Linked DNA regions of Stegostoma tigrinum. The protein of the gene in region 4 purifies or fractionates together with the protein of the main gene of each other region. This does not show direct contact. Links are inferred from orthologs where the notes say so. Each region holds a gene or a part of one and is shown on either strand. Other genes may lie near its edges. The genes, in order: cullin-1, hspb1, ubac2 and vcp.

Region 1 (7,102 bases), on a different chromosome or scaffold from region 4:
GTTACCAACCATTGTCACTGGCACAGAATTTAACAAACTGCAAAATCTAGTTGAACTCTGAAAGCTCGCCACTGGTTGACATTGTATGTAGCATTCAGTAAGATAATTGCCGTTGATGGAGAGCAATCATCTCAACAGTTACAACCCTGAAACATGAGTCACAAAGAAAGACTTTCAAGGCCTAGACATCTTCAGCTTCATGAATGAGTGTCCATCCCTTCACAAGGTCAGATTTAGGGGTGTATGCTGATGATTACATAACATTCAGCAACATATATGACTCCTGCATAACGAAGCTGTCACTGCGCATGTGTAATGCCTAGACAACATTTAGGCTTCGACAGTTGGATGGAAAGTGACACCCATGCCAAACTAGGAGCAAGTAAAGGCCATCTCCAACAAGACAGAATCGTCATCTGCTCAACACTCAAAACACTGCACCTCCCAGTCGTGAACCATTTTAACTCCCCCTCCCATTCCTCAGACGACATGTCCATCATGGGCCTCCTGCAGTGCCACAACGTGGCCAGCCGAAGGTTGCAGGAACAGCAACTCATATTCCGCTTGGGAACCCTGCAGCCCCATTGGTATCAATGTGGACTTCACAAACTTCAAAATCTCTCCTTCCCCCACTGCATCCCAAAACCAGCCCAGTTCTTCCCCTCCCCCCACTGCATCACAAAACCAGCCCAGCCTGTCTCTGCTTCCCTAACCTGTTCTTCCTCTCACCCATCCCTTCCTCCCACTCAAGCCACACCTCCATTTCCTACCTACTACCTCATCCCACCTCCTTGAACTGTCCGTCTTCCTTGTACTGACCTATCCCACTCCCTACCTATCTCCTTTTCTCTCCATCTTCATTCTGCCTTCCCCTATTTACTCCAGAACCCTCTCCCCATACCCCTCTCTGAAGAAGGGTCTAGGCCTGAAACGTCAGCTTTTGTGCTCCTGAGATGCTGCTTGGCCTGCTGTGTTCATCCAGCTTCACACTTTGTTATCTTATATTCAATGATATTAACACTGTCAAAATCCCTATGCTTTTGGGTCATGACAAACCACCCGTCTCACTGGGTCAAAATCTGAAACATCCTTCGAAACTCAGTGGTCTCCAGTTACCCTAAGGGCTGCAGCCATTGAAGACAGCATTTGGATGAGCAACAAATGCTAGCCAGATAGTGATTACCACATTCCACAAATTAAGAAAACAGAAATAGAGACAATGATAGGCTAAAATTTCTGCAACAAGTGATCTATCCAAAATCTGTCAGGTGCATAAGGACAGATAGATGGATCACCACCATCCACAGATTGCCCTCCAAATCACTCACAATCTTAAATGATGCAATGCTAACAGGTATTTAAACTATACCAATTTGAGCATTTGAACCAAAGGATAGAATTATTGACACCCGGAGAAAATGATTAATTACCTGCAGGCTAAACTACTCAAATGGATGTATGGTGAGTTTCCACAGCCTCATACAGATAACATACACGATCATCTGATCTCGGAGAATCTGAGCACTGAATTCTACGAAGCAAGGCATTTCAGGTAAAATCAAAAATAGTTCCATTGCTTTCTACTGCTTGCTCTGATGGGCTTTTGTGTTTGTTGCAACGTATTAGCATAGTTTTCCAGGATTCCAGCATCCACTGCAGAGTCCACCTCCAAAAGCCATATATTTGTCAACTAGCTAGTTAATGATCCAAGTAAGTGCATAAGTACCGCTGACCCCCTAATTGGATGTCAGATTACTGAATCTGCCACAATGAACCACTTGGCACCAGCTCTACACAAGGCATTCCATTTCTCTCTGGGAGGCCCCGAGACATTTCCTCAACTGCTGTTGAGAAAAATACCATCTCTTGGTTAAAGTCTGTAAACATCAGACAAAGGCTTAAAGCAACAGTATGCATAAAGTACAAATCACAGAGTTGTAAGACAGTACACAAAACTGTTAAACAGTAACATTTTACATATACACTATACTAAGGCTCTTTTCCACAACACTGGCAAGACCAAGTTATGAAGAGAACAATGTTTGTTTCATATCCACTGACTGAAGCATGTCAATTGGGGTAGAAGCAATCACAGTGCGTCATTGTATAAAACAAACAGCGGCAAACTAAGAACTACTAGGTTGAATTACGGGAAGTGATTTTTGGTGCAACGCAATCTTCTAAACAGTGCTTTTGTTGACACAGACGAAGCGTTTAAGTCTTAGAAATAACAACGTGACGAGTTAAGTTGGCAACTGTGCAAGACTTCGTGACAACTTATTTCGTTTATTTAAATAAAACGATAGAATGTAGGTTATATGCGGAAACCCAGATGCTTTTAATCCACTAGATAACATTGCAGCAATTTATTTATGGGCAATGTTTAGGATCCAGAGCGCTGCTCACAAAGCGTCGAATCAAACGAAGATCGAGGCCTCGGTCCCTGGAGCCGAGTGGGGGTAAGGGGGATCCCAGATTATTTGCGGAAACTGGCCGGCGAGGACGACTAGAATCTGTCGCCGGCCGTAGGCGGAAACTAATCAGCTCCTCTTTGCAGTGCGCCACAAACAGAAGGAATCCCAAGGCCCGGCTTCTCGGGACAGGCCTAGATTAGAGCCTCGGCTCTCAGATTCATCACGGCCGAAAAAGAAACCTTCCCCATACGGAGACAGAGGCTTCCAACTCCTGCTACACAGCACCGACCCCATCACCTAAAAGTTTCAGCCGCTGGGGCCGACTGACTGAGGAGTGAGGTCGGGATTTGGTGGGGGGAAATCCCAGAGGCCTGTCCCTGGGCCTCGGGCTCTGCCAACAACATGGCGGTGACTGCGGCCTCCCGCAAACGGCCCGAGTCACCATGAGTCAGGGAGGCAATGGTTGGGGGGCGGGGGGAACCCCAGAGCTCTTTCCCTCCAACCCCACCTTCCAGCCGCCGCCGCCTCCACTTCACTCACCATCGTCCCCCTCACCGGCTCCGTCCGCTTCGCCACTCTGCTTCCGATTTAATTTTTCAACCGACTCCCGGCGCCTCGTCTCCACAGGTTCCGCCCCGCCGCCTGCAACTAATTCCTTAAACAACAGTTCCGCCGCTCGCCCACATCCTCGGGGCCTCTCCCTCAGCTCAGCTAAGCTCCTCTTCAGTTTGTTTTAATAAAATGACGAAAGGGCAAACACGTGAGGTAGTCTCGACAAACAAATAACATCGTTGGAACAAACTGTTCATCACAGAAGGGATTCGATCTCATTGCAGCTGGGCTTCCGGAAAATTTTGCTGGCGACTGTTTTATTTCTTAAGAAACGCGAAATGTTTTTGTCTACCAGGTCCCCCCCCCAAAAAAAAACTCAACGAGGTTTGTGCAGTAAGAGGGTTCAATTTTTTTTAAATTTTTAAATGAAATCAGATATTCAGCTATTTAAGTTTGAGATAGATTAATATATATATTAAAAAGGCATTTGCCACATTTGTACTGACCACGCAAGGTTTTACTGGTTTTAAATACTGGAAGAATTGATGATAACAGAAGTTGCTGGAAAAGCTCAGCAGGTCTGGCAGTGTCTGTGAAGGGAAAACAATCAGTTAAATTTTGGGATAATGGGAGAGATAATGTGACCCGTCTTCAGAACCATTCTGAAACGTTAATTCTCATTTTTCCTTTCCTGGTTTTTAATCCTCTCGATGTCTCCAGGATTACATTTGATATGAAAGATTCGAGTAACCCAACTGTGAAGATGGGCCCCTGGGAGGTTAGTCACGTCCCCCAAGTATGTTGTTGTGTTTGCAACAAATTGCGAATTCCTTATTTAAGAAATAGACCGAAAAACGCTGTTGCTATGGGATCAACTTCTAAATGAGGCAGAAGCCATTCAAACCTAATCCACCAATATCAAATCACAAGTCGTCTGTACCTCAACCCTGTATACTCGCATGTCACCCATATCGTATTTAACCTAACAGTCTGCGGAGACATAATAGGAACTGCAGATGCTGGAAAATCTGAGATGACAAGGTATAGAGCTGGATGAACACAGCAGGCCAAACAGCATCAGAGGAGCAGGAAGGCTGACGTTTTGGGTCTTGACCCTTCTTCAGAAAATCATTTTCTGAAGGGTCAAGACCCAAAACGTCAGCCTTCCTGCTTCTCTGATGCTGCTTAGCCCGCTATGCTCATCCAGCTCTACACTTTGTTATCAACAGTCTGCCTATACCAATTTGATTACTTCAATACACCCAGCATTTACAGCCTAGAACAAAATAGTTCCACGTTTCGCCCACACTTAGACATAGAACATTACAGCACAGTACAGGCACTTCGGCCCTCGATGTTGTGCCAATCTGTCATACCGATCTCAAGCCCATCTAACCTACACTATTCCATGTATGTCCATATGCTTATGGAACGACAACTTAAATGTACCTAAAGTTGGCGAATCTATTACCCTGCAGGCAAAGCGTTCCATTCCCTTACTACTCTGAGCAAAGAAACTACCTCTGACATCTGTCCCACATCTCTCACCCCTCAACTTAAAGCCATGTTCTGACCTATCTGTAATTTTAAAAGGTATAGATTTCTTGTTCTAGATCCCCACCATAAGAAATAGTTTCTCCCCAGAAATAGTGATTTGTGAATTATGTACCACACCACATCACTTGCCATTCCACCACTCTAAAGCAAAGACATGGTTCTGGAGAAACTTAGCTAGTTTGGCAGCATCTGTGGTGAAAGAAACAGAGTTAATGACCCAAGATGGATATGGCTTCAGAATAGTTCTGGTTTGACTAAGGCTTCCCCACAGTGAAAGCCAGAAGCAATATATTTTCCCTAACCACACCTATCATTGTTCTGAGGTAGTAGGAAGAGTCTAGGCCCAAAACATCAGCTTTCCTGCTTGGCCTGCTGTGATCTTCCTGACTTTGTCTCATCTGCAGACTTAAATATACAAATTTCAATTTTTTCACCTGAATCGATCAAATATGGTGAAAAACTGAACTCAGCAGATTTCTGGAGGACACCACTGTCACATCCTGTCAATCAGCAACATTCCCTTTAGTCAAACTCTGATTTAAAGTCGGAGAGAGACTTACAGCATGGAAACAAACCTTTCAGTCCAAGTCATCCATGCTGACCAGATATCCTAAACAAATCTATACCCATTTGCCAGTATCCCTTTACACATACCCATCCAGATGCCTTTTAAATGTTCTAATTGTACCAAACTCCACCACTTTCTCTGGCAACTCATTCTTTCCACGCACCACCCTCTGCATGAAAAATGTTGCCCCTTAGGTCCATTTTAAATCTTTACCCACTCTCCTTAAACCTGTACAGGACATTGGTGAAGCCTCTTCTGGAATACTGTCCAGTTCTAAGCGCCCAGTTACAGGAAGGATATTAACAAGCTGGAGATGGTTCAGAAGAGATTTACCAGGATGCTGCTGGGTATGGAAGGTTTGAGTTATAAAGAAAGGCTGGGACTTTTTTCCAGGTCACCTCTGAACCTCCAATGGGCTAGTGATAAAAATTTATAAAATAATGAGGTATAAAGTTGATGGTAGTTGTCTTTTCCCTCAGATGTGGAATTTCAGCATTAGGGGACACATTTTTAAGGCAGGAGAAAAGATTTTAAAAAGACAGGCAATTTTTTCTTTTACACAGAGGATAGTTGGCATACAAAATGAACTTCCTGAGGAAGGGGTGGATGCGAGTACAATTGCAACATTTAAAAGATATTTAAGTCAATTCTTGAATCATGGGGTTTCAGAGGCCAGGAGCAAGCTGGTGGGACGAGTGTAGTTTGGGATTATGCTTGGAATGAACTGGTTGGTCTGAAGTGACTGATTCCATGCTGTATGATTCTATGACTGTGCCCACTAGTTTCGCACTCCCCTCACCCTAGGAAAAAGATCTTGTCTGTCTATTTACCCCATCCGTGCCACTCACACCTCAGCCTGACGTTCCAGGGAAAAAATCACCCCAGTCTATCCATCCTCTCCCTGTAGCTCAAAACCTCCAATCCTGATAACATTCTTGTAAAACTTTTCTGAACCCTTTCAAGTTTCACACCATCATTCCTCACTGAAAGTGGCAACGCAGGCGGAAAAGGTAGACAACGAGACATATGGCATGCTTGCCATCATCGGCCAGGGCTTTGAGTTTAAAAAGTGGCAGGTAATGTTGCAGCTTTATAGAACCTTAGTTAGGTTGCATTTGGATTATGTTCAATTCTGGTCACCACACTACCAGAAGGATGTGGTGGCTTTGGAGAGAGTACAGAGCAGATTTACCAGGATATTGTCTGGTATGGTGGGCATCAGCTATGAGGAGAGGTTGGAGAAACTTGGATTGTTCTCACTGGAATGAGTGTGTGTGAGGGGCGACCTGATAGAAGTCTCCAAAATGATGAAGGGCACGGACAGACCAGACAGTCAGAAGCTTTTTCCCCAGGGTGGGAGAGTCAGCTACCATGGGGCATGGGTTTAATGCGAGGGGCAAGGTTTAAAGGTGATAACTGAGGCAAGTTTTCTCCAGAGGGTGGTGGGTGCTCACTCCTGGGGGATGTAGTGGAAGAAGATACTACAGAGACTTTTAAAGGGCATCTTGACAAATACATGAATAGCATGGGAATAGAGGGATATGGTCCCTGGAAGGGTAGGGGTGTTCGGTTGTGATGGATAGCATGTCAGTGCAGGCTTGGAGGGCCAAAGGGCCTGTTCCTATAATGTAAATTTTCTTTGTTCTTTGAGACCAGCATTGCATACAGTATTCCAAAAGTGGCCTAACTAACATCTTGTACAGCACAACATGACCTCCCAACTCCTTTTCTCAATGCACTGACCTATAAAGGCAAGCATACCAAACGTCTTCTTCACTATCCCATCTACCTGCAACTACCTCATGCCCCCTTTTTGCCCTCCTGATTTCCCCCTTAAGTATACTTCTACTGCCTTTGTACTCTAAGCATTCACTGGATCTCTGCTGTCTATACCTGACATGTGTTACCTTGTTCTTGACCAATACCATGATTTCTCTAGTCATCCAGAATTCCGTATACTTACCAGCCTTGACCTTCACCCTAACAGGAATATACTGTCTCTGGACTCTGG
Region 2 (7,060 bases), on a different chromosome or scaffold from region 4:
TCTGCACAGATCTGCCGTGTTTCTCCAGCAATTTGTGTTGGTTTTTGAATAAGCTGACACTTGCCCACATTATATCCCATCATGTTGCCCATTCACTTCCGCTTTCTGTCTCCCAATGCAGTCTCACTGCTGCCTCCAGTTTACATTTCTAACCAGCTTTGTATTGTCAGCAAGTGTAGATACATTAATCTCAATCTCTTCATCTAGTCACAAATATAGATTGTAAATTGATAAGGCTCAGCAATGAACAATACTCTACTAGTCCCAGCTTGCCATCTCGAAAAGGTCTTATCCATCTCTCTGTTTCCTGTTAGGCTGAAAAATCTGACCACAACCCCAGTCAGAGACAGAAACCCTATTTCCAACCCCGATCAAATTTTAAAAATGCCCACTTCTGCCCTGGAGATTTCTGTTCTAGAGCCTTTTGGTATGAGCCAGTCTAAGCAAGCCTCAAATCCCGAAGTGCAAAGGGTTTTTGTTGAAACTACATCACCTTCTGCAGCACTTAATGCGTTGGTCTTCATTTTAAATGGTCAGCAGGCACTTTGAAATCTACTGTGAAAGGTAAGTACATACTTGAAGGGGCAGCAGGAGGGACCAGTCCCAGTGAGTGGGGGGCATGAGCCAGGTGGGTAATGGGGAAAAGTCACAGATTAGTTAGGGTCAGGTAGGTAGGGTTCCAGGGGAGGAAGAAGTGGGTAAAATGCCAGATGTGCAAGCTGAAAAAGAAGCCAGATAGATTGAGTCCCGGAGTGCCTCACAGGAGGATGAGTACTTAGGAGAGATTGCCATTTCAGTTCAGGTTGGAGCTGGGGCTGGGAAAATGACTGGGATGTTATGTTGGGTCAGACTGGGAGATATCAGTTGAGGGGTAGGAAGGTATTAAGTCGAAACATTGAGGGTGTTATCGGATTAGGTGGAGTGTTTGATCACGTGGAGGAGGGGTTGTGTTAAGAAGAGGCATTTTGGTTCTGGTGTCTCTGCAAGTGTTATGGCAGTGGGTATGGATGGTATCTGGTCAGATTGGAAGGAGTGTGGTGTTGTTGGGTCATATGCGGGTGTTGGGGTTGTGTTAGGGAGCTGTGTTGGATCAGATGGGGTGGAGTTGGTGACGGGGGTGAATGTTGGGTTGGGGTGGGCATAGTCAGGAAGTTCAGATTAATATTTACCCAGGTATTAAAACAAGTTTTAATCCTCTAAACTTTCCTGGATAACCTGTGGGCCTATGGAGTTTGAACCCTCTGAATTCTCGACTTCAAGGGACTTTTTCAGAATTATCTTGATGCAGGGAATTTGCCAATAATAATACCAAGTTCCAGTGCAATTCCCTTGGAGCCAGCTGCCTTGAGAATTTTGCATGGCCTTGATATGCAACTTCCATTTCGACTTCAGCAAGGGCGATCTGACCATTAGAATACCTATTGCTCCCAACTCCATAAACCCCTCACCTACATAATAGCACCTTACGCGTGGTACCTTATTGAAGCTCACATCCCAGTACACTACATCTACCGGTTCCCCACCGCTGGTTAGATGGGCAAAATATCCAATTAGTTGTCAAACATGCCGTCCCTTTCATAAAACTATGTTTACTTTGTCTATGAACTATGATTTGCCATGCACATTGTTCACACTCCCTTAATAACATATTCCAGCATTTTCAAAAGCCAGGTGAACTGGCCCGCAGATTTTCCCATTCTGAAGGAGAACTAGAGACGAGCAATAAATACTGGTCCAACTGGTGAAACCTACATCCCCAAAAATCCATTTACATGATTTGTTCCTCCCAGAACATGTCACCAGCCTCACTCCAGAAGCAATTTTGAGAGATGCCCTTCCATATGAGGCACAGCAGATAAGGAGATCTTCACCCTCTTGCTGCCTGCTAAAGGCGTATTAGAAGGATATTGCAGGTTAACACCTGCTTCCTTGGCATCGTGATTGAACCTCCCTCGGGCATCAAACTACTCCTCCATCCCTCAATTCATTCTCACAAATCTTCCTTCCCCAAGCCCACTCCTGTAAGACGTTACATTCATCCGAAAGAGGTGCGAGCAGAATTGGGCACAGAAGAACACAACAAGTAGAGAGGAGTAGCTCATTCGGCCCATCGTGCCTGTTTTGCCATTAAATACAACCCTGGCTTCAAATCCACTTTCCCAGCCACACTCAATACCCCTCGATTCCCCGAGAGAAGCCTCCAATCTATGCAACTCTCCGAGTACTGAGATCCCAACACCCACAAGGGGCTGAGCGAAGTAATTTCCCCTGGGCTCTGGGCCGTTGGCCAGGAACACCCTCGTTTTGCAATCCTGGGCCCTCTGACTTTCCCGACAGCAGACTGGCTAAACAATATATAATTTAAGAAAAATTAAAAACTGGGCTTTACACTAACTCCAGTCCAACAGGAAAGTGAAGGTTGGGTGGGGTGGTGATGGAATTCAGGGACTCAAAACTCTTGGCCCAGGGACTAACCCAATGAGGGGCTCTGAAAAGTATTTGGGGAAAGTTGGAAATAGCAAGACTACAAATGAAGAGATCTGGAGGGAGCTTACCAGTGATCTCCACGTACCCATCCTTGGTCTTGACTGTGATTTCTTCCGGGGCAAAGTGGTTGACATCCAGGCTGACTTTCCACTTATCTGAGGTCACTTTGATCTCGGACACTCCTGTACTTTGCTGCCGGCTCAAGCCGCTGTCCTGGCCGCTGGCAGGAGCCGCTGCCCCGCTCGGGGCCGCCAGGGACGGTCGGAAATAGCCCGGCCACATGCCGTGCCAGTCGGTGGCCGACCAGTCGTGGGGCAAGGCTGGCATCCCGAAGAACTGGTCAAAGATCCGGCCGGGGTAGTGCCAGTCCCGGAACGGATCCCAGCTGGGGCTCCGCATGAAACTGAAGGGGATGCGGCGCTCGGACATCGCGGCAGCGGGGGAGAGAGAGAGAGAGAGGCAGAGCCGGGCTAACGCTGGGCCAGAAGTGTGGCACGGCGCTGCTTTTATATCCCGGGCTATATTTAAATCAGATTCCAGCCGAGTCCGATTACAGGGTCTGCCCTCATTGGTGCGGAATTCAAGCTCTCCAGGATTCCCGAATGGTCTCTCCGATTGTCTGGATCAGAGTTTGGAAAATGAGCTTGTTGACACTAGACACAACACTCCCTCTTGCACCCATGTACACACCCCGGGACAAAGCGCCAGGAGCTCAGTTGCTTTACTTGCAGAGGGCCAGCACAGTAAGGATGGGCCCAACAACCTCGTTCTGTGCTCTGAAAATCTCTGATTGGGAAGTTGGTGTTTGGGTTTCGACTTCCCTCCCTGGGCTAGAGTAAAATCCGGTCCCCAAACGGACTGTGTGTACGATTCTGGCCACTCTGCACCCAATCTGGGCTTCTCCAGGTTTTTAAAGAAAATAAATGAAAAGAAAACTTACTTCCTGCAGGCAGAAAATACACCGTGCACAAACATCTCATATTGCACTGCACCTGTAACTCATAGAAAATCCCTATAGTGCGAAAGCAGGCCATTCTGTCCATCAAGTCCAAACCGGCCCTCCAAGGAACATCCTCTAGAACCTCCCTACTCCCCTATCCCTGTAACCCTGGCTGACCCACCTAGCCTGCACATCCCTGGGCACTACAGCATGGCCAATCCACCTAACCTGCACATCCCTGGGCACAACAACATGGCCAATCCACATAACCTGCACATCCCTGGGCACTACAGCACGGCCAATCCACCTAACCTGCAAATCTTTGGACTGTAAAAGCACAAGGAGAATGTGCAAATGCCATGCAGACAGTCAACCACGACTGGAATTGATCCTCACTCTGTATCACTGTGAGGTAGCAGTGCTAGCCACTGAGCTACCCATATAGACCATAAGACATAGGAGTGGAAGTAAGGCCATTTGGCCCATCGAGTCCACTCCGCCATTTAAATCATGGCTGATGGGCATTTCGAATGTACTTCCCTGCACTCTCCCCGTAGCCCTTAATTCCCTGTGAGATCAAGAACTTATCAATCTCTGTCTTGAAGGCATTTAACTTCCTGGCCTCCACTGCACTCCGTGGCAATGAATTCCACAAGCCCACCACTCTCTGGCTGAAGAAATGTCATCTCATTCCCGTTTTAAATTTACCCCCTCTAGTTCTAAGGCAGTGCCCAAGTGTCCTAGTCTCCCCGCCTAATGGAAACAACTTCCCAGCGTCCACCCCTTCTAAACCATACATTATCTTGTAAGTTTCTATTAGATCTCCCCTCAACCTTCTAAACGCTAATGAGTACAATCCCAGGATCCTTAGCCGCTCTTCATACGTTAAACCTACCATTCCAGGGATCATCCGTGTGAATCTCCGCTGGACACGCTCCAGGGCTAGTATGTCATTCCTGAGGTGTGGGGCCCAAAATTGGACACAGTATTCTAAGTGGGGCCTAACTAGAGCTTTATAAAGCCTCAGAAGCACATCGCTGCTTTTATGTTCCAACCCTCTTGAGATAAATGACAACATTACATTCACTTTCTCAATTACGGACTCTACCTGCAAGTTAACCTTTAGAGAATCCTGGACCAGCACTCCCAGGTCCCTTTGTACTTCGGCTTTATGAATTTTCTCACCATTTAGAAAATAGTCCATGCCTGTATTCTTTTTTCCAAAGTGCAAAACCTCGCATTTGCGTATAGCTCACACACGGACACGTAACTCGCACTAAACGTGTAAGACACAGCACGTATAACTGCAAGCGCATTTTGCATTGCGCATGCACCTCGTACTGTGCATAATGTAACACTGCCAACCATTTTATGCAGTATATCCGTCTGCACTGCTCATACATCTTGCTCTGTGCACACATGGAATGTCATGTTCACGACTAGTGAAGTGCAGTGCCTATTCCCGATGCAAAAATCATTTCCTTCTTGTTATGTGCTCTGCCATGGACCATGGGCCTGGTAGTTAGGCATGAGCTGCTTTCGCTGTGTCACTGCTACTGGAGCAATAGTCTCTACTCTGCAGCACCGTCTGTGCGTTCGCAGTCACTCCCACAATGTCATGCCGGCACAGCATTCAATTTTAGACTAGTTGCAAGATCTAGGAGAATACAGCAACAGTTATAATCAGTCTGTAACTTTCACTGCAAGTCAGCATGCCTGGTGACTGGTCAACACCTGGCCTCCATACAGGTGCAGTGTGACGTTAAACCTGCAGCCCAAAGGTAATCTAGTCTAAAGTGCAGATTGCCAAGAAGCGGACAGTCTGTTAATGATTGTTGCTGTGCTTCATGGATCTTACAACAAGTCGAAAAGATACTGTCAAAAATTGTTTTGGTCTGGTTCCTTGCTCACTACCTGGAATGAATTTCAGACACTTTTAGTTTTGCAATTGATGTAATGCAACTGTCTTTCTTCTGGTAGACTGCAATGCTCCACCTAGTGAAGAATTTGGCAAAATATGCAGTCTTTGACCAAAACACTGCTCACAAAGTCTCTGAGGAACATAATCTTGGCAAATGGCAAGATGTTACTGCAATTATCTACACATCATCTGGGCCCAGCTTCGATGCATGTGTCCAAGTCACATCCTTTATTCTTGGACCGTCATTACTTTGGACATGTCATCACGGCTGCCATCCACTTTATTACAAATCCGCCTTTGTGTTATTTCCCCAAATCTGTTGGGGCTGTCTCTCTCTATCTGTTTCACTGCTGGTCACCTGTAACACCGGCTGTCTGGTCGGGGAGCGAAAAAGCCTGTCAACTCCTGTGTAACACGCGAGTTAACAGATTGATCACCCTGTTGTTCAGGGTCTGTCCCCTTAGACTGACAGCTACCGTGGCACTATAGATGCATCTGCCTCAGGCTCTGCTGAAACTCACATCCCAGGTGGGCCTGACTACCTCTGCAGCCTGCAGCCCCACCTTACATAGAGAGACTACACCTGAATTAGTGATTACAAATCTACTCATGAAAAGGATCCATTCGGAGCAATGAGAGTGAGCTGCCAATGCACTTGGAAAATTCACTTCCAGGATCTGGGACTGGTGTGATAATCTTCTGTATTCTTTTTCATGGAATGTGGGCATTTCACCCATCCCTCATTGCCTTTTAACTGAATGGTTTGCCTCTTCATTTCAGAGGGCAGTTAGGATTTGGCTTGATTTATTTATTTTTGCATGTACTTTGTTACAAATAATGTGAAAAGTGTAATACAGTGTCACCACTCTTCAATGCAATCTTAATGCACAGCCAAATAAACCAAAACATAGAATAAAAGGTAGAAAAGCTAAAGAAATAGAGAAAAAGTGTTCAACTTTACAGTCCTCCTTGTTAAGCGCACCGCCATGGGCCATGGGCCTGGTAGTCAGGCATGAGTTGCCTTCGCCATGTTGCTGCTCCTGGAACAAAAGTCGCCAGTTTGTGGCACCGTCTTGCACCCACCAACACCCTCACCACTATGAGGCCTCACTGGACCCTGCCAATGCAGACACCACTGACGCCACTGGGTACCGCACCGGCCCAAACTCGATTCTATTGCGGCGGTGAGTCTGCTGATAGATTATTAGCCCAGTGACATTGCAACACTCTGGAATGTTGTGTAGGGGAATTTTGCATTTTCTTGTAACTCCTCTGAGAGGCATTCTATCACTTGATTAGAAATGTATTTATTTGCTTATGTATCAACAATGTGTGGTAGCCCAGCAACCAGACCAGGCATGTGGTTGATGTGTTGCTGGAGTTGTTCCCAGCCTATAATTAGTGAGGGTGGTTAGCAGCAAGGGACAGGCATCCAGCAATTCCTGAGGGCCCTTATGAAGGATGATCCAACTTTGTGGAAGCCCTGTGTGAGACTGCGATAGCCGAAAGCAGAAGGTAACCTCTGTAATCAGAATTAAGGATTTAGTAGGGGTAATGTTCGCTCTCCTCGTCCAACACTCTTGGGGAGGAAGTGAATAAAGATCTTTAAAGGGAAGAAATGTTGATGTAGTAATGTCAGAGGAGCAGGAAAGTTGATGTTTCGGGTCGGGGGCCTTTCTGAAGAAGGGTTCTGATCCGAAATGTCAACTTTC
Region 3 (8,033 bases), on a different chromosome or scaffold from region 4:
ATCTGCTGTAGAGATGAACAAATAGGAGAATTTTCTGCTCCTCTTCAAACTATGTTCAAAGTCATTTGCCGAAGAGGGCGAGAGTCATCTCTGACAGTATAGCCTAAATATTGGGCATGCTTTTGCTCTCTCTGGAGGCACAGACTTGGGTCACGACATACTGTAAGTGCAAAGGTGAGGCCCCATATCTCAGGAAGGATGTACTGCTGGCCCTGGAGAAGGTTCAGAGGACGCTCACAAGAATGGTCCCAGAAATGGAAAGCTTAACACATGAGGAACGTTTGAGGACTCTGGGACTATACTCATTGGAGTTCAGACAGATAAGGGGGGATCTAACTGAAACTTTCAGAATACTGAATGGCCCAGACAGAGTGGCAGTGTGGGGGTGGGTGGGGGAGGGGGGGGCGGGGGTGGGTGGCGGAGGATGGGCGGGGGGTCTGGGGCTGTGGGGGGTTGGGTGTGGGTGGGGTGGGGGGGGGTGGGTGTGGGTGGGGTGGGGGGGGTGGGTGTGGGTGGGGGGGGTGGGTGTGGGTGGGGTGGGGGGGGTGGGTGTGGGTGGGGTGGGGGGGGTGGGTGTGGGTGGGGTGGGGGGGGGGGTGTGGGTGGGGTGGGGGGGGTGGGTGTGGGTGGGGTGGGGGGGGGGTGGGAGGTGTAGGGGGAGTGGGGCGGGGTAGGTGGGTGTGGGTAGGTGGGTGTGGGTGGGGGGAGTGCAGACAGACGGGGTGGGTGTGTGGGTGGGGGGAGTGCAGACAGACGGGGTGGGTGTGTGGGTGGGGTGTGCAAAGAGATTGGGTGGGTGCGTGGGTGGGGGGGAGAGGGAGTGCAGACAGACAGACAGACAGGGTGGGTGGGGTGGGGGAGGACAGACAGACAGACAGGGTGGGTGGGGTGGGGGAGGACAGACAGACAGACAGGGTGGGTGGGGTGGGGGAGTACAGACAGACAGGGTGGGTGGGGTGGGGGAATACAGACAGACGGGGTGGGGGAATACAGACAGACGGGGTGGGTGGGGTGGGGGAATACAGACAGACGGGGTGGGTGGGGTGGGGGAATACAGACAGACGGGGTGGGTGGGGTGGGGGAATACAGACAGACGGGGTGGGTGGGTGGGTGGGTGGGGTGGGGGAGTACAGACAGGGTGGGTGGGGTGGGGGAGTACAGACGGACGGGGTGGGTGGGGTGGGGGAGTACAGACGGACGGGCTGGGTGGGGGAGTACAGACGGACGGGGTGGGGGGGTGGGGGGGTGGGTGGGGGAGTACAGACGGACGGGGTGGGGTGGGGTGGGTGGGGTGGGTGGGGGAGTACAGACGGACGGGGTGGGGTGGGGTGGGGTGGGGTGGGGTGGGTGGGGGAGTACAGACGGACGGGGTGGGGGAATACAGACAGACTGGGGTGGGGGAGTACAGACAGACGGGGGTGGGGGAGTACAGACAGACGGGGTGGGGGAGTACAGACAGACGGGGTGGGGGAGTACAGACAGACGGGGTGGGGGAGTACAGACAGACGGGGTGGGGGAGCAGTGAGTGAAGGGCAGAACAACAGGGCATGGTGGGGGAGTGCAGACAGACGGGGTGTGGGAGGGGGAGTGCAGACAGACAGGGTAGGATAGGGTGGGGTGGGAGCGCAGACAGACGGGGTGGGGTGGGAGCGCAGACAGACGGGGTGGGGTGCGGGGGTTGCAGACAGATGGGGTGGGGAGCAGGAGGTTGCAGACAGATGGGGTGGGGAGCAAGGGGGGTGCAGACAGATGGGGTGGGGAGCAAGGGGGGTGCAGACAGATGGGGTGGGGAGCAAGGGGGGTGCAGACAGATGGGGTGGGGAGCAAGGGGGGTGCAGACAGATGGGGTGGGGAGCAAGGGGGGTGCCGACAGACGGGGTGGGATGGGGTGGGTGAGGTGGGGGATTGCAGACATACAGGGTGGGGTAGGTGCAGTGGGGTTGCAGACATACGGGGTGTTGGGGGGAGTGCACACAGACGGTAGGGTGCAGACAGACAGGGTGTGGGGGAGGGTGCAGACAGACAGGGTGTGGGGGAGGGTGCAGACAGACGGGGCATGGGGTGGGGAGTGCAGACAGACGCGGTGTGGGGTGGGGGAGTGCCGGCAGACGGGAAGTGAGGGGGCGTGGCGTGCAAACAAACGGGGCGGGTGGGCATGGGGTGCAGACAGGCAGTTGGGGTGCAGACAGATGGAGTGGGTATGGGTGGGGTGCAGACAGACAGGGTGGGTGAGGGTGGCGTGCAGAGACACGGATCGGGTGGAGGTGGCGTGCACACAGACGGGGCAGGGGGTGGGGTGCTGACAGATGGAGTGGGTGAGGGTGGCGTGCAGGCAGGGTTCGGGTGCAGACAGACGGGGCGGGTGGGCGTGATGTGCAGACAGGCAGTTGGAGACAGATGGAGTGGTGTGGGTATAGGTGCAGATAGACGGGGCGGGTGAGGGTGGGGTGCAGATAGACGGGGCGGGTGAGGGTGGGGTGCAGATAGACAGGGCAGGTGGAGATTGTCAGACAGACATTGCGGGTGTCTGGGGGATCGTCAGACAGGCATTGCAGGTGTCTGTGGGGAGGTGTCAGGCAGACACTGGGGGCGGGTGTCAGGCAGACATTGGGGGGGGTGTCTGGGGGCGGGTGTCAGGCAGACATGGGGGGGGTGTCAGGCAGACATGGGGGGGGGTGTCTGGTGGTGGGTGTCAGGCAGACATTGGGGGGTGTCTCAGGGTGGTGTCAGTCAGACAGGGATGTAGCCAGGCCTACCGGCCATGGTGTCTGGAGCGGGGTCAGTGTAGGACCCAGACCCTTCCTTTCCTCTCCCTGGGCTCATTGGCGAACCCCGCCCCCAACGAGGCCTCCATATTCGTGCCGCGCTTGCCATTCACTGCACCGGCCCAACCGTCTCCACCTCGAATCGGGGAGAATCAACAGAAAAGTTTCCCATTGCTCAGGACTCCCTGAGCTGCCCCAACTCCCACTCCCATGTCTCGGTTACTCACAGAGGCCGCTGGAACCAGTCCCAGCGAACATCGTCCCGTGGCCCCGCCCACACGCGGTGACCACGCCCTTTCTTCCTCACCCCATCCCCAATGTTGACCACGCCTCTCGCCTTTGACCACACCCTTCCCCGCCAAGACCACCCTTCATCTAGACCCCACCCCTCACTTTGTCCCCGCCCCAACGTCATTGTCACGCTCCTGGCTCTAAAACACCTGCTCGCCCTCGCCCCACATGTTCGCTCTGACCGCGCCTCCCATTCCAGACCCCGCCCCCTCGACCTGATCCTGGAGACTGAAACATTCATTGGGACTGATACTTGTATTCACGTCGTAGTAATTTTATCTGACAATGACGTTTACACTGACTGTGTTTTCTCACTAACAGTATTTTCTACACTAATAACATTAATTACTATTAATTACAATTAATAGCATTCATCACTATAAATTACTATTAATAGTATTCATGTTCATAATTATTAGAGAGCTTGATTTAAAGAGCCATATTTGGCTAATACTAATAGTTCTATTAGTAGTAATAAGTATTTGTTTAATCCGGAACAAAAGGTCATAGTTTTAGCACAAGGTGAAACACTTTTAAAGCAGAGATGAGGAGTAATTGCTTCTCTCCAAGTCATGAATCTGGAATTCACTATCCCAGATTGAAGCGGATGCTAGCACATAGAGTAAATATAAAGAGAACATAGATTTTTAATTAGTAACAGTTTGAAAGGTTATCAAAAACAGGCAGGAAAGTGGAACTGAGGCCAAGATGAGCTCAGCCGTGACCATATTAAACAGCAGAGCAAGCTCAATCAGCTAAACGCCTTCCCCTAGTTCCTATGTGTGGTAGAACAGAACTTGACTGCTGCTGAAAAAGGAGATATATCTGTCAAAGCTTTTTCTTCTTGCTCTCAGTTCTGTTGATGATATCATTAATAAATAAAATCCAATTCAGGGAAAACGCATCATTAAAATTTATGACAGGCAAGTACTGATTGGTTGCAAGTGGACTCAGATTGTGAGAAAGTTTGGTCTGCAGATGCAGCAGTTAATGTTGACTGACAGTAAACTGTAAAACTTTGCTTACATTTTAAAGCTAGTAGGTTGGCTCCTATTGGTCAAGTTATTATCCTGAGATATGAACCAGAAAATGGCTGTTGTTATTATTCTTGGGTTGAAACAGGTTGCATGTGTACATTTCCTTCAAGTTTGCAATATGCAGGGCTCTTTGTCTTAATATATTTAACTTGTAGTATACACAAGTGCATGACATTGCTAGCCTGACTGATAATCTTAAATTGGTTATCGGCTTAATCCTTCATCCCCTCAGAATTATCCAGCAAGTGTTGTCCAGTCGCAGAATCACATCTAATGTTGGACATTGTTTTGTGAATTTCACAAGTGTGGCTGAGTGGGTACAGTCATTAATTTGCTTGTTTCATCCAGGTGGAGAGATATATTCCTTGATGCAATCCTCCAGTCTTTGAACACATGGCCTATATACCTAGCAACACACAAGCAGTAAAATTCATACACCATTATCCAGCTGTGCAATAAGCAGAGTACCCTTTTAGTGTAAATGTTATTTTCACTTTTCTTTGGTATGTTTTATGACTTCTTCTGATGAATGCAAGGTGAAATGCTCTAACAAACTGTGTCTTTTTAAACAATATTCTGTGACAATAGTTAATACAAACAACAGTAATAATTATATAGCTTTTTTATGAGTGATATTTATTCCACGTCAGTAACATTAATACTAATAGTAATAGTTATACTCACTAGGAGTACGCTCACTAGTACATACTAAGAAATTGGTACTTGTATAAACTTCAATATTGAACATGCATTAGTTAGATTGGTATTTATTCAGAGACAGGTAATGGGATAGCCCATGGTTTGAGATACAGTGAGGAGACTTCTGCAGAGAAAGATATAAGTTATGTCGGGAAGAGCTGAGAGAAGAAGTCACAACTGGGAGCACTGGCCCTAGTACATGGATCCAGTGAGACAAAAAAAATTCAACCATTGGTCATGTGGCTAGGTACGTTCCCTCTCAGAAACACACTTCAGACCTCCACTGCTACCAGAAACGCAGGAAGCAGCTAAATTGTTACCCAATTATCCCATTGCACTCACCATCCTCTTTCTTGGTAGGAATCTACAGGCCTGCTTGGTAGAGATAAAGCACTTACTGTTGTCCTAAATAAGAACTATGGTATTGCATGAAAGCAGCTAGTAGAAGTGACATTATGTAATAGAATCTATTACAGAAACTATGAGATAGACCCAGACTCATGTTGCACCTGATCGGGTTTCCCATGAAAGCCACAATGACAGCACTTTACTGGGTGGTGCTTAAGGCAATATCAATATTAATCCTTTCAGACCCTTGTACCTTTACCCAACATAAATCTGACATTGAAAACCGCCAGCATGATGAGTAATGGTGACCATGAAATTAAGGAATTGTTGTAAAATACATTGAGTTCACTAATGTCATAGAAAACGTACCGTGTGGAAAGAGGCCATTCAGCACATACTGAACTTCCAAAGTGTAGCCAACCTGGGCCAGGCCCTTTAGTCCCATGTTTATCATTACTAATCCATCCATCCTACACATCCCTATAACAGGACAGGGTTTTTTTTAGCATGGCCAGTCCATCTGCCCTGCACATCTTTGGACTTTGAGAGGAAACTGAAGTACCCAATTAAACTCACACAGACATGGGGAGAACATGCAAACTCCATGTAAACAATTACCCATGGCTGGAGATGAACCTGGGTCCCTAGTGTTGTGAGGTAGCAGCACTAACCACAGAGCTACTCTACCAACCTACATCTGTTAGATAAATATTTACTGTCCTTACCTAGTGTGGCCTTTTCATGTTTCCTATATCACAGAATTGTGATTTTACTTCTCTCTAAGATGACATCGAAAGCCATTCAGTTAAGGGTTGTTAAGGATGGTCAGATATAGGCTCTACCAATGGTACCCACATCCCACAAATTTCTTTTTTATACCCCATCCGTTTGTTGTTTTGCTTGACTCTTTTAGGTTTAACTGGCTCAAAATACCAAAACATACAATTTGTAGAACTAATAAGCTTGCTGGCCCAATGGCCTCTTGTGAACCCCATTAGGTTTTGCATGGTTTCTTTCTGCAGTTAGTACCACAATCCACCAGATGGCAATATTTATTTACATTGTAAACTACGTCCATCTCAAATCATTCACCATGCATCTCGATAGTTCTGTTAATGAATCTTTGATTGTAAAAGAATTTAGGCTGAAGAGATAATTATATTCATGCCATTTAAAACTAGATACCTATCTCTAGTAACTTGTTGCAGGTATCTGTGAAGCTGATTTAGAATGGATAACCGAGTTACGGCACTATCGTTGAGTTGAAAGATTGGAGATGCTGCAATGGTTCTCCTTAGAACTGAGAAGTTAAGTGAGATTTTAATTGAGATGTTCAAAGTTAAGTGACTTGATAGAGTAAGTAAAGACAAGCTGTTTCTACTGGCAGGAGGATTGCTGACGAAAGAAAAATAGGTTTAAGATAATTGGTGAACAAATCAGAGATGCTGTAAGAGGAGGCTATGCAATGTTGGACATGACCCTATTACTCACCTTCATCAAGTTAGAATTTTGCCCAATAGCAAATTCTGAAACTGAACTTGTCTTTTGCACTGTTCCTTTTTATTGAATTTATTTGGAAGAAATTCTGTTTTATCTTATCAACTGTAATCAGACCCGTCATTGATCTTTACATCACTCATAGCAGGATTAAGCAGAATATGTGCAGACAAAGACTGTCAAATCATTACATGACCAATTGTTAAATGCATTGTTATGACTGAGGTTGGAGGAGTGCACTCCCACTAAGGTAAAAAATGCTCTTTCTCATCACCAAGATAATAAACCAAAAACCTTATCCACATTAATAAGCACAATTTGGGATTTATTTTCGAACCAAGAGTTATTCAATTGCAACAATTGGTTAATATATTCATAGAGTAATACAGATGTATAAATATGCTTCCTATAAATATTCCCAAAACACACGGACCCAAACACTCTTCAGGAAAAGAAGGGATAAAAAAAACAAATAAATGCCTGAAGAGATTGGTTTTCTTATTAAAATAAAGTGCATTTTTGTCAATTGATTATTCTTGAAGACAAAAAGATACAGCATACGATGTTACAAAATCTATTGCATGAATACTTTTGCATATTTGGTCACATCAATGATGTTGTGTGGTTGCCCCTGAAGTCTTGCAAATATAACTTGCTCAGAAATTATAATCTTGAGATGCTCTATCAATCACCTTTTCAAAAGAGCAAATAGGTTTCACCTTGAAGTGATGCGGAAGGTTTTCTTTGCAGAAATGTAAAAGATCAGCTAGGCAGCTTGGTCATAGTATGCTTTCCCCTGTATGACGCAGCTAAAACAAACACTTTATAAGGCAATCATGATTCAAAACAATTCCAGCAGGATCTATAGCAAGGCAAAAGGCATAACCACTCCTGTTATTTCCAGGAAACATTGTTAAAACAGATCTCCAAAGGCCACAATAACTTCCAATGACCTCCTTTAAAGAAACACTTCAGACATGTCCACATATTCTCCCACTTTACCATTATAATCTTCCAAATATCTTTGAGTTAGTTCCAAAATTGGGAGAACTGTCTCACAGACCATTCAAGCAGATGGTATCGGTAAAAGAGACCACTACACAGTCCTTGTAGAGACAAAGTCCCACTTTCACATTTAGAATACCTTATATCATGGCAAAATCATACTCAGGGAATCCTACCTTTCAGACAATGTCCCAGGCAAACCAATGCCATCGCTGAGTATGTCCCAGCAGAGGTCGCAGCACAGTGGCATTCGGACGGGAGAGAACTGCACTGGAAGTCCTCAACATTGACACAGGACCCCATGAAGTCTCAAGCATCAGGTTAAAAATGGGTAAGGAAACCTCCAGCTGATTACTATAGATATTCTTCCCTTATCTGATGACTCTGTACT
Region 4 (7,606 bases):
ACACTGAGTGGAGAAATTCTTCTTCATCGCAGTCCTGAATGGCTTGCCCCTTATTCTTAAGATTGTGACCCCTAGTTCTGAACTTCCCCTAACATTGAGAATATTCTTCCTGCATCTAGCCTGTCCAGTCCCATCAGAATTTTATATGTTTCTACAAGATCGCATAAGACAATTCAATCCAGTTTTTCTTCAATGTCAGTCCTGCCATCCCAGGAATCAGTATGGCGAACCTTTGCTGGACTCCCTCAATAGCAAGAATGTCTTTCCTGAGACTAGGAGATCAAAACTCTCTCTTATGGACTGCAGCAGCTCAAGGTGGCACTAACCACCATAAAAGGAATTAAAGGTGGGCAATAAATGCTAGCCTCGCCAGTGATGTCCATGTCCTATGATTTAAAAACAAACTCTCAGTTGCCAGCACCCCTTCAACACCTCAACCAAATGCCCATTATTCAGGCATAAATCCCCACAGTATGATGAAGTATCGATTCAGGGAGATGTCACAATCATATTCATTACCGTTCTCACCTGACATGCACAGGGTTGTTCCAATTTTTGAAGAATGACTGGGCATTTATTTCAAGTTAAAATCCCAACCTGCTTCTCACATTTCATGAAGTAACCAAGAACTTTTCACAATGTGAGCAGGCAGAAAAGTTACGACAACTTGCATTTATATGTAACTTCCACAAAATAGACAACAAGCCAAAAAAATTGGTTAAACTTGTAAATGGTGATTTTAAAAACAGAGAGATAGAGTGACAGAGAAGCTTAGGGAGGGTTAAAAAAATTTCATGGGGTTAGGATGATGTTTCAAACAATCAAGCATTCACTCTGGAGAGAATGGAACAACCAAACCACCATAATGTAATTAGATTCTTCACCTCAGAAAGCCTTTGATATAATTGTTCAATATCAACTCCTAGCATAAAAAAGGAGTATGAAAACTATTTTCACTTTTGTGCTGCCAAACTTTGTAAGATATTAGCCGTGTGACAATTGATTTTGGTAAAGAACAGGGATATGTCAAGGTATGTCTAATTCAATGAGAATACAGGAAGTACAAAATTTAACACTACTTAAGGCTGCAGTCAACAAGCAAATTTTTGTTGTATGATTAAGAACATCAGTCAAAGAAAACAAAATCAGAGAACTTCAGACAAAGGAAGACCTCCTGTTTTTAAGCAACCATTCAATGTTGAGATGATTTGAAATAATTTCTCCTGGTAATTATGGAGTGTAGTATAACAGATGAATACAGAGGGGGTATTTATTGTGTTGCTTGGCAGACTCAGAGGCAAGCTTTATTTGTAACTAAAGTAAATAACATAGCTCAAACGTATATCATTCCATGCCATAAATTAGAGAACATGGCACTTCCACACAATTGAGTGTAACAGCTCATTGCTAAGTCTGAAGTAAAGAGTAATCATATCCAAGATTACCAGGGCTGGTAACATTGGCAGCACTCACTAACCATGGAGATTATTGGACATTTGGAACTCTCGATCCCTTAGCATAATCTAAACGATGATTCTGAAGATAAAACAAAACTTCAGGGACCATGTAATATCCAGCTGCATATGTAATCTTATTTCTAAACAAGCTTTTCATATCATCATCGGTTTGATGCTATTTTATATATACTGTCTTAAAACGTATTTTAACACACAGAACAGCACTTTTTTTTGGTAGACAAAAATTGAAAGTTTTCCACTGACACATTGAAGAATTATTTCTGACAGCATGGAATTTATACACAACTGAAAATCACATAAGCAGAGTAGCTGCAGTACAGGAAACCTTCTGATACAAAATTCACCTTGTACTCATATTTGGTATGCTTGTCGTTCCAGTTGCCTGCAATTCTGACAATGGTATCAAATTCCCCTTTAAAAGCCAAAATTAAAACTGCCCCACCAACCTTTCAAGTAATGCAATTCAGATCATAACCATTTTCAGATTTAATTCAAAATGTCCATAATGTACACTTATGTAAAGTATGATCTAGCTGGATAGCACACAAAATAGTACTTTTCACTGTATCTCAATACGTGAGAATAATAAAATCTTAGGATTATTTCAGAGGCAAAATGCTAACTAAGTGACCATTACGCGTTTGTATGGCACTGTAGCAACTTAAGTGAATTTATAATTACAAACATAAAATCCAAACTCAAAAAGGAAAGTCTCATGAAGTCATCTGTTATAACGATGTAGACATTCAGTTACTTTGATCTCTACCTAGCCATACCACATTAATTTTTACAGTTGCAGGTGAAGGGAATGGGAGAAAAAAAATCAAATATGTCCGCGAAAATAAACATAAACTTCAGTTAATCACATATTATTGCACGCTCGCCTTGATATGAGCCAGGTTAGAGGTTGGAAAATGAACGAAAATTGATTAAATCCCGTTTCGCTACGTCTCGATTTTTACAAAATGTCAGCAAATATGCCAAACTCCACAAAATAAGCCCCCCCAAAACAAAAAAAATCGCCCTCGTCATCCTCATAACTCGGCCGAAACAAACTGCAGCAAATAATTGCGAAGCGATTTTTAACTCCATTTCCAGACAGGGGGCTTTGGTGAAAATAAACCGAAGGCAGAAATTCCGCTCTGAGATCAGGTCTCTTCAATGAGATGCAGCCTCTCCCAACTAGGCCAGGATGACACAGTGAAATCAGGCGAGGAGCAAACCTGCCTCTCCCTTCCCCCTTCCTGCAGTAGACGAGGAAAAGCCTGAGGCCTACCGGCCTTCAACGAGACTGGGAACTACCATCCGCTTCACTGATCCATCCTAGGTCTTACTTACTCTCCTCCCGAAGCCATTGCCGATCAGTCTCCCTTTGCTCACAGGGATTCACTTCTCTTAGCCTCTGATGGACAATATTTTAACCCTTTCTTGTGCCGTCTTCCCTGTCACTCAATGGTCCCTTCTCGCCCCAGCTGCCGAAGTACCAAAAAAAAGCCCCTGGCAGCCGCTCCGCCGCGTCACTCCGAACTCACAACGAGGCTACCCAATCCAGAACCTTCTCTCGGAGCCGTGACCTCGCAGCCCCGCCCACCACCGCGCCTGCGCCGCTAAAGCGAGCGTGTGCGCCCGCCCCTAACTGTCAATCTCCACATCCGGAAAGGATATCGCGCTGCTTGTTCTGTCGAGTCATTCTAACGCACTGCTCCGTCAAGCTTGATGAACGTGTGTCGTGGCAGGGCTGTCGGCATCTCATTCATCGTGGTGCAAATAATTTTTGATTCGTTTTGAAACTGAAACTTTCCAAATAACTTGCCACCTCCCATTTGACCATTGGTGATTGTAATCCTTAACAATTTTCACTGCGGGGTCCTTTGGTTTTCAAGGTCTAACAGATGGCAGTTTGTATGGAACCCATTCCCTCCTGTTGCTACATTAATATGTCATTAAGAATATCAAAAGGGAGTGGGCTTAGACAAGGTAGTCCGTGGAGAAAGACGGGCGTAGACGATGGTCTGCAAGTACTGCAACATCTTTATATGAGAATGTCAAGAGAGTCACGGCAAAGGTGAGCGTAGTGCTCATTACTAAGAAGTTGGAGACAACACAGCTGGAGGAAAGCAGAAAGGCCAACTTTCCTGCTGTTCTGATGTGCCTGACCTGCTATGTTCATCCAACTCCACACTATATTGTCTCAGGATACAGAAGGACTTGGACAAACTAGGAAAATGGACAAAGAAGTGGCAGATGCACCACATTGTGGGAAAGTGAGAGGTTATGCACTGTGGTAGAAAAAATAGAAGTTTAGATATTTTCTAAATGCAGAAGGGCATTGGAAATTTGAAGCACAAAGGGACGTGGGAGTCCTAGTTCATGATTCTGTTAAGGCTAACATGCAGGTTCAGTTGGCTGTTAGGAAAGCAAATGCAATGTTAGCATTCATTTCAAGAGGGCAAGTACACAAGAGAAGTGTTGTACTGCTGAGGCTGTATAACACTCTTGTCAGAATGAATTTGGAACAATGTTGGCAGTTTTGGTCTGTGTGTCTCAGAAACGATATGTTGTCCTTGATGAGGGTCCAGAAAAGGTTTACAAGAATGATCCTGATGATAAAGGGCTTTGACATATGAGGAACAGTTGAGGACTCTGGGTCTGTATTCAATATAGTTTAGAAGGATGAGGGGGGAATAGAGTGAACATGGAGACGATGTTTCCCCTAATAAGAGAGACCGGGAACTGAGGGTACAGCCTCAGAGAAAAGGGACAACACTTTAGAACTGAGATGAGACAGAATCTCTTCAGCCAGAGAGTGGTAAATCTGTGTAACTCATTGCTGCAGGAGGTTGTGATTGGGTTAGGGGAGCAAAAGCTACAGAGATAAGGCTGGAGAATGAGGTGGACAAGCATATCAGCCTTGATCAAACAGCGGAGCAGATTCAGGGGGCCAAATGGTCTAATTCTGCCTCTATAACTTATGCTCTTCTGGCCTTTATCAAAATGCTTTAACATGAATATGAACATTAACATTAACATGATATTGAGATTTGAGTATTGAAGCTGCTTCAGTACAACCTCCAGGCAAGTGGAGGGATCCAAGAGGTAGTGTTGAAGGAGCCTCAGCCCTTGAGCTTGTCTAACGGGTTTGAGATTTTTGCTCCCTGTGTCGACAAGCGCAGGGATTGTAGAGAGAATGAACAAAATGACCATAACACTGTGGCTCAGGGAGCCATCAAGAGGGGGGAGAAAAGACAAATGTAGTTGTAATTGAGGATAATATAGTCAGGGGAGTATCCACTGATCTCTGTGGCCAGGATTGAGAGTTCTGTTTTGCCTTTCTAGTGCCTTGGTTCAAGATATCTCATTGGGGCTGCAGAGGAACTTGGAATGAAAGGTGAAAGATCCAGTTGTTATGGTCCAACGATATAGGTAGAAAGAGGAAAGAGGTGCTGCTGAGGCAATGTGAGAAGCTAGGGCCTAAATTAAAATACAGAACCAATAAGGTAACAATCTCTGAATTATTACCTGAGCCAAAATCTAACTGACACAGGGTCAACAAGATTAAAAAAAGAGGTAAACACTCAGTTCAAAGATAGTTAGGGAAGAAATAGGTTTGAATTCATAGGACATTGTCAACACTTCTGGGGAAGGATGAAGCGTTTGAAGGGATGGGCTCCACCTCAATCATGCCGACAAATCATGTAAGCAAGGCTGTGGACAGGGCTTTAAACCAAATAGTAGGGGGTGGTTGGTTAGGGGTCAAAAATCTAACGTCAGGCACAGTGGAGAAGGGGACAACAATGAGAAGGGAGCTAATGAAAGCAGGACAAAGGGTGAGATGGGGATGCAGATAGAAGATGGATAAAGGAGAAGATAGGGTGAGAGGAGACAGTCAGGTCAAAGAGGCGAGTGAAGGTGAATGTAGATGTGGAGTTGGGGAGGGGATAGGTCAGTTCAGGGAGGACGGACAGGTCAAGGACGTGGGATTAGGTTAGTGGGTAGGAGATGGGGGTGGAGCCTGAGATGGGAGGAATATTTAGGGAGGGGGTTACTAGCTGGGCTGGTTTTGGGATGCGGTCAGGGGAAGGGAGAGTTTGAAGCTTGTGAAGTCCACATTGAAACCCTTGAGCTGCAGGGTTCCCAAGTGAAATATGAGATGCTGTTCCTGCATCTTTTGGGTGGCGCCATTGTGGCAATGCAGGAGGCCCAGGATGGACCTGTCGTCTGAGGAGTGGGGGGTGCAGTTGAAATGGTTTGCGACTGGGAGGCGTAGTTGTTTGTTGCAAACTGAGCGTTGGCGTTCCGCAAAGCGGTCCCCAAGCCTCCGCTTCGTTTCCCCGATGTTCAGGAGGCCACAACGGGAACAGCGGATACAGTATATCACATTAACATATGTGCAGGTGAAATACTGTATCCGCTGTTCCTGTTCTGACCTCCTCTACATCGGGGAAACCAAGCTTGGGAACCCTGCAGCCCAATGGTATCAATGTGGATTTCACAAGCTTCAAAATCTCCCCTCCCCCTGCCACATCCCAAAACCAGCCCAGCTGGTCCCCGCCTCCCTAACCATTCCACCCACCTCAAGCCCCACCCACATCTCCTATCCACTAATCTCATCCAAACACCTTGACCTGTCCGTCCTCCCTGGACCAACATATCCCCTCCCTAACTCCCCACCTACATTCACCTTCACTGGCTCTAACCCTGCCTCTTTGACCTGTCTGTCTCCTCTCATCCTATCTTCTCCTTTATCCATCTTCTATCCGCCTCCCCCTCTCTCCCTATTTATTTCAGAATCCCCTTCACCTCCCCCATTTCTGAAGAAGGGTCTCGACCCGAAACATCAACTTGCCTGCTCCTCTGCTGCTTGGTCTGCTGTGTTCATCCAGCTTCACACCGTGTTATGTCAGATTCTCCAGCGTCTGCAGTTCCTACTATCTCCGCAGGACTAAGGGTGTTGTGTTTAATTATGTGCAGTATATGAAACAAAGTAAATGAGCTTGTCGTGCAAATTGACATTGGTGGGTACAATGTTGTGGGCATACTTTTGCATGGCTGCAAGGGGATCAGGGCTGGGAACTAAATATGCAAGGATACACATCTCATTGAAAGGACAGGTGTACGGGTGGAGGGGCTGAGGTTGACCTGTTCGTAAGATTGGCAAGATGTGACATCGAAGGTGTAGAATCTGTGTGGGCCGAGTTGAGGAACCACAAAGGGAAAAACGCCCTGGTGGGAGTTATGTACAGGCCTCCTCGCAGTATTCAGGATGTGAAGCAGAAAATAAATCATGAGATGGAAAAAGCATGTCAGAAAGGCACGATTATAATAATTACAGGGGACTCCAAAAAAACAATTGGACTGGGAAAATCAGGTTGGTAGCAGATCCCATGAAAAGGAATTTGTAGAATGTCAATGAGAGTTTTTGGAATAGTTTGTGGTAGAACCCACTAAGGAACAGACAGTTCTGGATGTGGTGATATTTAAGAAGACAGGCTTGACTGGGCACCTTAAGGTGAAGAAATCCCAAGGGGGTCGTGACCACAATATGATAGAATTCACTCTGTGGTTTGCGAGGGAGAAACTGGAATCAAATGTGATGGTACTTTAATTAAGTAAAGATAAGAACATAGACATGAGGGAGGAGCAAGCCAAAGTTGATTGGAAAAGGAGCCTAGCAAGGAAGATGATAGAATAGCAATGGCAAGAATTTCTAGGGGTAGTTTGCAGAAACAGCAGAAATTCATCTCAAGGAAGAAGAAATATGCTAAGGGGAGGATGAGGCAACCATGGTTGACAATAGAATTTGGGGATAGCATTAAAACAAAAGAAAAGCATACAGTGTGGTGAAGATGAGTGGGTAGCCAGAGGATTTAGTAAAACCTTTGACAAGTTCTGCATGGTAGACCTGTTAGATTGCATGGGATTCGGGGTGACCTTGCCAATTGGGTACAAAATTGGCTTAACAGCAGGAGGCAGAGAGTGATGGTGGAGGGTTGTTTTTCAGACTGAAAGCCTGTGACCAGAGTTATTCCACAGGGGTCGATACAGGGTCCACTTTTTGTTTGTCATTTATAAAAATGATTTGGATGAGAATATAGAAAGCGTGGTTAATAAGTTTGTGGATGACACCA

Evidence for each region.
Region 1: the proteins of vcp (region 4) and cullin-1 purify together in Homo sapiens (affinity purification with western blotting; 4 studies listed by BioGRID and IntAct, with this or other methods). This does not show direct contact. The link is inferred for Stegostoma tigrinum from reciprocal best matches to the Homo sapiens genes VCP and CUL1.
Region 2: the proteins of vcp (region 4) and hspb1 purify together in Homo sapiens (affinity purification with mass spectrometry; 3 studies listed by BioGRID and IntAct, with this or other methods). This does not show direct contact. The link is inferred for Stegostoma tigrinum from reciprocal best matches to the Homo sapiens genes VCP and HSPB1.
Region 3: the proteins of vcp (region 4) and ubac2 purify together in Homo sapiens (affinity purification with mass spectrometry; 3 studies listed by BioGRID and IntAct, with this or other methods). This does not show direct contact. The link is inferred for Stegostoma tigrinum from reciprocal best matches to the Homo sapiens genes VCP and UBAC2.

What each region holds. Positions count from the first base shown.
Region 1 is NC_081355.1:98,233,402-98,240,503, forward strand, and holds the start of cullin-1, read right to left. Parts: upstream 3,235-7,102; 5' UTR 2,955-3,234; intron 1-2,954. UniProt on the Homo sapiens protein: Core component of multiple cullin-RING-based SCF (SKP1-CUL1-F-box protein) E3 ubiquitin-protein ligase complexes, which mediate the ubiquitination of proteins involved in cell cycle progression, signal transduction and transcription.
Region 2 is NC_081380.1:6,803,149-6,810,208, reverse strand, and holds the start of hspb1 (heat shock protein beta-1), read right to left. Parts: upstream 3,142-7,060; 5' UTR 2,917-3,141; coding exon 2,556-2,916; intron 1-2,555. UniProt on the Homo sapiens protein: Small heat shock protein which functions as a molecular chaperone probably maintaining denatured proteins in a folding-competent state. Plays a role in stress resistance and actin organization.
Region 3 is NC_081359.1:17,621,560-17,629,592, forward strand, and holds the start of ubac2 (ubiquitin-associated domain-containing protein 2), read right to left. Parts: upstream 3,108-8,033; 5' UTR 3,024-3,107; coding exon 2,993-3,023; intron 1-2,992. UniProt on the Homo sapiens protein: Restricts trafficking of FAF2 from the endoplasmic reticulum to lipid droplets.
Region 4 is NC_081354.1:133,138,602-133,146,207, reverse strand, and holds the start of vcp (transitional endoplasmic reticulum ATPase), read right to left. Parts: upstream 3,022-7,606; 5' UTR 2,834-3,021; coding exon 2,817-2,833; intron 1-2,816. UniProt on the Homo sapiens protein: Necessary for the fragmentation of Golgi stacks during mitosis and for their reassembly after mitosis. Involved in the formation of the transitional endoplasmic reticulum (tER).